2 linked regions of the Xenopus tropicalis genome follow. The protein of the gene in region 1 binds, or shares a complex with, the protein of each later gene. Links are inferred from orthologs where the notes say so. Each region holds a gene or a part of one and is shown in the gene's direction. Other genes may lie near its edges. The genes, in order: grb14 and insr.

The links.
Region 2: the proteins of grb14 (region 1) and insr are in contact, whole or in part, in a crystal structure (PDB 2AUH), measured with the Homo sapiens proteins. The link is inferred for Xenopus tropicalis from reciprocal best matches to the Homo sapiens genes GRB14 and INSR. Residues at the interface, in NP_004481.2 of Homo sapiens: Glu373, Asn374, Ser375, Leu376, Val377, Ala378, Met379, Asp380, Phe381, Ser382, Ser386, Val388, Ile389, Glu394, Val398, Ala399, Glu401, Glu402, Gly403, Leu404, Trp406, Arg407; in NP_000199.2 of Homo sapiens: Leu1065, Arg1066, Ile1069, Glu1070, Lys1112, Arg1116, Arg1163, Met1180, Arg1182, Tyr1190, Lys1192, Gly1193, Gly1194, Lys1195, Gly1196, Leu1197, Leu1198, Pro1199, Val1200, Trp1202, Ser1207, Leu1208, Lys1209, Asp1210, Gly1211, Gln1235, Asn1242, Glu1243, Leu1246.

What each region holds. Positions count from the first base shown.
Region 1 is NC_030685.2:70,838,515-70,842,340, forward strand, and holds part of grb14 (growth factor receptor-bound protein 14), read left to right. Parts: intron 1-1,842; coding exon 1,843-1,953; intron 1,954-2,130; coding exon 2,131-2,226; intron 2,227-3,826. UniProt on the Homo sapiens protein: Adapter protein which modulates coupling of cell surface receptor kinases with specific signaling pathways. Binds to, and suppresses signals from, the activated insulin receptor (INSR). Potent inhibitor of insulin-stimulated MAPK3 phosphorylation.
Region 2 is NC_030677.2:111,781,927-111,785,752, reverse strand, and holds part of insr (insulin receptor), read left to right. Parts: intron 1-421; coding exon 422-669; intron 670-770; coding exon 771-938; intron 939-1,438; coding exon 1,439-1,634; intron 1,635-2,155; coding exon 2,156-2,430; intron 2,431-3,154; coding exon 3,155-3,297; intron 3,298-3,410; coding exon 3,411-3,570; intron 3,571-3,826. UniProt on the Homo sapiens protein: Receptor tyrosine kinase which mediates the pleiotropic actions of insulin.

The sequences.
Region 1 (3,826 bases):
TAAAGTTCATGTTTTACTGCCAGTCTGTGCTAAAATCTAACCTACATTGTTCTCATAATGCCCATCGAAATACATTTACATTTTGTTAACGTTTTTTTTTAAATAATTTTTACTAAGGAGTTATGTTCTACAGATACCTCTAGAAAGAGGCAGAATGCAGACATTTCCAGTGTGAAAGAAACTGGCATTGGTAGTATCTAGGGTTGTAAATTCTACTGATCAAAAACTTAATTATAAATGTAAAATAATTGACCAATGAGAATGTGGATTCCCATCACTGTGCCAGGCATCTTGCTGGTATCTTACATATAGAGATAATTATGTCATTTTTTTCCCTTCATTATAAGACAAAGGAATCAGACATGGGGATAAAGGACAGACTTGTTCAGTGCTGGGAAACTGTGCTTAATGCTCCCAACTCCAATTGCTGGAACAGAGAACATGGAAATCCAAAAAATAGGAAAAAAGCTTCAGCAGGTTTACTGCAAAACATTTATTGTGGGTAGTGGTAACATGACATGTTTTGGGTCAATACCCGAATAAATAAATGTTTTGCAGTAAACCTGCTGAAGCTTTTTTCCTATTTTTTGGATTTCTACAATTGTATTTGGTTGCAGCACAGAGCAACAACTAGGAACTAAAGCTTTTTTTCGCAAGTATTTTATACAAAGTTCACCAATCATTTTTTATTTTTGAACAGAGAACATGGAGCCAGATTTACACAGATCAGCTGGGATTCTCATTGGAGGATTTCTTGCATTTTAATGCAGCCGCTGGTCCTGGAGATTTCAGGGAAAGTTTTGTAAAAACTTTATTGTGCAATATTGCTTTAAGAATAAAACCCTGATGTTACTGAACTACAGCCTCAACCTTCATTATATGTTACATTATTCTGGGATTTGTAGTCCAGCAACAGCTGAGTAAAATTTGGTTGAGCAGTGCAGCACAGCAGGGTTTAGTACCCCTTTAAATGGAGGTAAACCAATAAGGCTGATGCCACACATGGCGTAGGGCTGATTTTTTCAGCAAGCCGAAAATTCAGCCCTACGCCTGCTACTTGTGCCTGCACCCGAATGAATGAGATACGCTCGGGTGCAGGCACATGTAGCCGATATACGCATGAAAACACGTGAGAATGCATAGTCTCACTTTTTCATGCGTATATCGCAGGGGGCTCAAACTCAATTTACCTGGGGGCCGCAGGAGGCAAAGTCAGGATGAGGCTGGGCCGCATAAGGGATTTCACAAAAAATTGGCTTTCAAGGGATAATGCAAGGCACGGCGGGCGGGAGCTGCTGATTGCGGAAATGACGTTATGCCATCATAACAGTTATTATGGGAAGACGTTCTGTGTGCACAATTAGCTCCTTAGCAGCTAATTGTGCACACAGAACGTCTTCCTATAATAACTGTTATGATGGCATAAGGTCATTTCCGCAATCAGCAGCTCCCGCCCGCCGTGCCTTGCATTATCCCTTGAATCGCAATAAAAATCGTGATCCATTCATTGCTTTTGAGAAGGCGTTGGTGCGGGCCACAAAATATTGTACGAAGGGCCGCAAATGGCCCGCGGGCCGCGAGTTTGAGACCCCTGGTATATCGGCTACATGTGCCTGCACCCGAGCGTATTCCATTCATTCGGGTGCAGGCACAAGTAGCAGGCGTAGGGCTGAATTTTTGGCAAGCGTTTTTCCGCTTGCCGAAAAAATCAGCCCTACGCCATGTGTGGCATCAGCCTAAAGGACAGTAACATACATTTCAGTATAAATAAAAGTAAACAACCCTATCTTGTATGTTTCAAATATCAATGGAATTTTGAATTTCATTTTGTATTCGATTTAGGATCCGCGTCATCTACAGTTTTTTACTGATTTTCACCAAAGTGAAGCTTATATGTTACTCTCAGGGAGAAAGCTTTATGGAGCACCAACAGACTATGGGTTCTGCCTTAAGGTACATTTTCTGCTATTTTATATTGGTACCCTTGCTATTAAAAACTGGCTTTGTTCAGAAACTGGCCGGGTATATTGATGTTTTTCCTGTTTTACATAGGAGAATTTTAGTTGCTTTTATTTCAACAGGTATTGCCTTCAAGATATGCATTAATCACAATGTGCTGTGGCCTTCTAGCCTAACAAGACAGGAGGTTCCAAGGAGCTGAAATTGTTTTGTGCAGACAATGAAGAGAGCAAAATCTGCTGGGTGACGGCAATTAGATTGTTCAAGGTAACATTTTTCTGTAGTTTATTTCCAAATTACCTTTTCCTGTAAATGATGCCCTCAGTAAAAAATGGAGACACTACTATTAGTTCTTATTTTAATGCAAGATAAATATATCTGTGAATTGCCTGACTGAACTGTATCTAGTAGAATTAAGTCTAAACAACTTCGAGTTTTTTCTTGAAAACGTTATCTGTTATGTGCCTGTGCCTTTTCTCCTTTCAATGGCTGCCTCCATGGCTACATAGCAGCTTATTTATATAAATTATAGTAGACTTTCTGAAGTAAACACACAATTTTTACCAGTGCAGGGCAGCAGCACATTATATTTTAGTTACTTTTATACACTTTCATTTTTTGGTGTTACTGTTCCTTTAAATGCTGGGGAATTCCCTACCACTCAGTTGAACTGAAGAAGCCACTTGGATGAGTGGTGAAACGTTTTCAAGAAAAAACTCCAGTTGTTTAGACGTAATTCTACTAGATATTGTATATCATGACCTGGATGAATGAGAATCTTCATAGATTCTTGGATCTTGTGAATTTTTCCAATTCAACCACATATCACACATATAAAGTCCCTATTCTGACTCATACTTGTGTGTTTAGATCAGTTTTAGATCTGATTCTCTCTTGCAAATTAAATTTGACTCTGATTTTAAATACATTGATGCAAACAGTTCAGTCTCTGATTAGCTACAAAGTTCAGCTCCCTCTGGCTAAAGGTAGATTTCGAAGAATGAGGATGAGCTCAGCCTGCAGGGTTTAAATTCACTTACAGTACAAACTGCGGCTGCCCTTTTATTGTTTAGGGTGACAGGTTTAGACTAATGGGACTTCTGTAGGTTTCTCTGCAAGTGGAAAAACACCCAAACCTAGTTACTTCCCTTGTTTCCCATTGATGATAATAGAAGCTCACCTATTCCCCTTGTCATTGATTATAATAGAAGCTCAACCGTTCCCCTTGTCATTGATTATAATAGAAGCTCAACCGTTCCCCTTGTCATTGATTATAATAGAAGCTCAACCGTTCCCCTTGTCATTGATTATAATAGAAGCTCACCTGTTCCCCTTGTCATTGATTATAATAGAAGCTCACTCGTTCCCCTTGTCATTGATTATAATAGAAGCTCAACCGTTCCCCTTGTCATTGATTATAATAGAAGCTCACCCGTTCCCCTTGTCATTGATTATAATAGAAGCTCACCCGTTCCCCTTGTCATTGATTATAATAGAAACTCACCCGTTCCCCTTGTCATTGATTATAATAGAGGCTCAGCCGTTCCCCTTGTCATTGATTATAATAGAAGCTCACCCGTTCCCCTTGTCATTGATTATAATAGAGGCTCACCCGTTCCCCTTGTCATTGATTATAATAGAAGCTCACTCGTTCCCCTTGTCATTGATTATAATAGAAGCTCACTCGTTCCCCTTGTCATTGATTATAATAGAAGCTCACCCGTTCCCCTTGTCATTGATTATAATAGAAGCTCACCCGTTCCCCTTGTCATTGATGATAATAGAAACTCACCCGTTCCCCTTGTCATTGATTATAATAGAAGCTCACCCGTTCTCCTTGTCGTTGATTATAATAGAAACTCACCCG
Region 2 (3,826 bases), on another chromosome or scaffold:
TATACATGAATTACAAATTTTGGTGGGTGGTGACAAATGTTAAATTAAATGTCACCCAGTTATGCTGCCTTTCCTTCTCCTTTAATTAAGTTGGCCTTCAATATTATTTCAGAGGTCAGAGCCAGGAGTGCAAAGAAAGTAAACAGACAGCCAAATACTGCTTTCAGTAGCAATTACATTTGCACAAATATGTTTTCTGTGGACATAAAAATAAGTTTGGCACTGCATTTATAGAGTTCTATTTTTGGTTTGTAGATACAGATTTTTTCACAAGATTTTTACATTACATTTCACATTCACCGATATTAAAAATTAACATAAGGAACATATTTGTAGAGACATAACTTGTGAGATCAAAAGAAAAAGTTTCTCAAGCCTGTTTTAGAGCCTACACACTAAAATGCTTCTTTCCTTATACCAGACCCTACCAGAATGTCACAGAATTTGATGGTCAGGATGCTTGTGGTTCCAATAGTTGGACAGTGGTAGATATGGATGCCCCAGAACGAAGTGCTGATGGCAAGACTCTATCTCCGGGATGTTTGCTCCGTAACCTGAAACCATGGACTCAGTATGCAGTGTTTGTTAAAACACTGGTATCCGGATCAGATGAAGGAAGAACTTATGGTGCAAAAAGCAAAATTATCTATATTCGTACCAATGAAACCAGTAAGTATTTTAAGAAACTTTTAACTAATTTTATATGAGGCAGAAATATAAAATGCAAGGTATTGGTATATCTGTCATAACTTATTATATTTATTACACAGTCCCCTCTGTTCCTCTGGATCCTTTCTCTGTGTCCAACTCAACCTCTCAGATTATTCTAAAATGGAAACCACCTTCTGAGCCCAATGGAAATGTCACTCACTACCTTGTGTACTGGCAAGAACAACCTGAAGACAGTGAACTTTATGAGCTGGATTACTGCAATAAAGGTAAACAGTTTGCACAAATGTGCTATCATCTACTTACCTTTAGTAATAGTGTGAACAGCATATAGTGGAAGTATGTATTCTAATGAGGATGCTTCAGACCTACATTAACAGAAGTTCTAATAATCAGAACTATATAGATGTTTAGTAAAAATGGCTTTCAAGTACAAACACTGATAATTGTTATGCAGATCTGCCAGCTGAGCACAAGTCTGCAGGAGTGGGGTTAAGGGCCAGGGCAAGGGTGCCGATAAGTGCAGGCTTACAGTCCACCCTTATGCTTAAATAATCTTCCAGTTGTGCCTGCACCAAAATCATTGAATTGGTGCGGGCACACGCAGCTGATATCCACCATCAAACTCGAGACTTGGCGTTTGTTGGTGGATATGAGCTGCATGTGCAGGTTGACAATCTGCCCCATGTGCCCTTGCACTAAGATTCTTTTTACACATTCCATGCATAAAATGCCTAAGAGGCTAATTCCCTTATCTCTTTTCCTGTAGGTCTTAAGTTGCCTTCCAGAACTTGGACTCCTCCCTCGGATATTGAGGAAAATGGAAATATAAATCAGACAGACCAACCTTCATCCAAGTGCTGTCCCTGTCCCAAAACTGATTTCCAAATCCAGAAAGAACAGGATGAATCAGCATTCAGAAAAACATTTGAAAATTATCTACATAATGAAGTTTTTATACCTAGGTGAGAAAAACTTATAAGAGATAAGAGCCACCAAGAAAGGGAAATAGTTACAAGGCCTGTGGCATACTATGCTTTCTCTCAGCTGGCAAAAAAACACCGGTAAAGAAAAGCAGATGGGGCCTAAAATGCTATATATGTGTGCATATTGACAGGATGGGAATTTGTCTCTAATTCTGTGCACACAGGGCAGGTATTAGAAAGATCATGTCAATGTCCACACGTGTGACAGGTTTCGGTCCCATCTGCCTTTTTTCCACCAGTTTTTTTCTATCAAGTTTGACTTTTTCAAACAACTCTACATAATGATCTAGAGTCCATAATTCCTAGCAGGGGTGGAGTTTAGGGGATTATTTCCTGCCCTAAAATAATACTCTTTAAGAAAGAGCCTTATCAGCCTCTGTACCAGTAGGGTACAATTCAAGGCAGATAAGTAATGTATGAGAAACCAAGACTAATTTCTTTATGTGTCTAGCTCCCTCTTTTCTATGCATTTGTAAGTCAGAAAACCATGTGTTTTGCAGACCTGTTCGAAAACGGCGTGAACTATTTGGAGTAGCCAATGGAACTCTGCCAGACCCAGTGACAGCCCCTTCTCTCTTCAATGCCTCCTCCACCCGTGCTCCGGATGAAACAGAGCCAAAGATATATTCACAGAAAGTTTGGTTTAAGGAGTCTCTAATGGTCACTGGCTTAAAGCATTTTACTGGTTACCGCATTGAGATTCATGCCTGCAACCACGAACTCTCCATGGGATGTAGCGTGGCAGCATATGTTAGTGCAAGGACAATGCCAGAGGGTAAGCCTTTTTGGTGCTCAGTTCACAATTTTATCTTTGTTTCAGTCTCTGAAACTGCATAAACCTTGTAATTAAGGTTTGTATACATTTATCAAACTTCCGGGTGCATTATACAATGTATATTAAATAACGTGTATAGGTAAGCCACCATCTTACATGTTTGCATATCTGTGCTGTTAGAAGTTGAAATCTTTATTAAAGAGTTGAAAATCACCTATTCCAGTGGGTACCTGTTCTTGTTGGAATGCCATTCACTGGAATCCTTTCTTGTCCAGTTTGCTATGCCGTTGTGAGATTATCTGTTATGCACATAGGGCTCTGGCACATGAGGGAGATTAATCGCCCGCGACAAATCTCCCTTGTTGCGGGTGACTAATATATGATGATATAATATATATAATATATGATATGACATGACATGTAAATCACCGGTGGGATGGCATATGTGGCGGCGTGATCATCGAAGTTGCCTCTTAAGGCAACTTTGGCGATTTTCGCAAATCGCGGCGCTGCGTACATCATCCCACCAGCGATTTACATCTTTGCCGGTGGTATGTCATATCGGGGAGATTAGTCGCCCGCAACAAGGGAGATTTGTCGCGGGCGACTAATCTCCCTCGTGTTCCAGAGCCCTTAGCTAGATAACCCCTGCTTATTTCCTATGTAAATGGATAGAAATGTGTCAGAACTCTCATAGATATGTTTTTGTTTTCTTTTTTTATAGCCACTGCCGACAATGTTGTGGGACCCATCACCTATGAGTATATTGAACCTAATATAATCCATTTAAAATGGCAAGAACCAAAAGATCCAAATGGGCTAATAGTTTTGTATGAGGTGCATTACTCCCGAGTTGGGGGCACAGAGGTAAGATTTCAGGGCCTCTTCAGATTTGAATATTTTTGTAGAATGATTTATTTTCTTGGAGTATCCCACAACAGTAGTCAAACTGTGCTTTCTTTCTGCATTCCCCATTGCAGGAAGTGATTAGCTGCGTGTCACAGAAGCAGTATAGCACAGACAAAGGGGCAAAACTCAGGGTATTAACCCCAGGGAATTACAGTGTAAAGATCCGTGCAACCTCCCTGGCAGGCAATGGATCATGGACAGAACCAGCCTACTTCCAAGTGCCAGACCACCGTAAGTAAAAATATTTTTTATGTTTAGGGACGGTTTGCTTGTGTTTATACTTATTTCTTTTGTTATGCTGTAGCTCTTATGTATTTTATTTGTATGCATACATTGCTAATTAGTTTTCTCTTAGTATGCTTTTGCTCTTAGAGGTATTAGAGGTAAAACATATTTGTCAGATTTCAGTAGTCATAATAAATCAGTCATAATAAAACCTGCAATATGGTGTAGGCTGTTTTAGTGTATTGCAGCAATGTAATAGGAA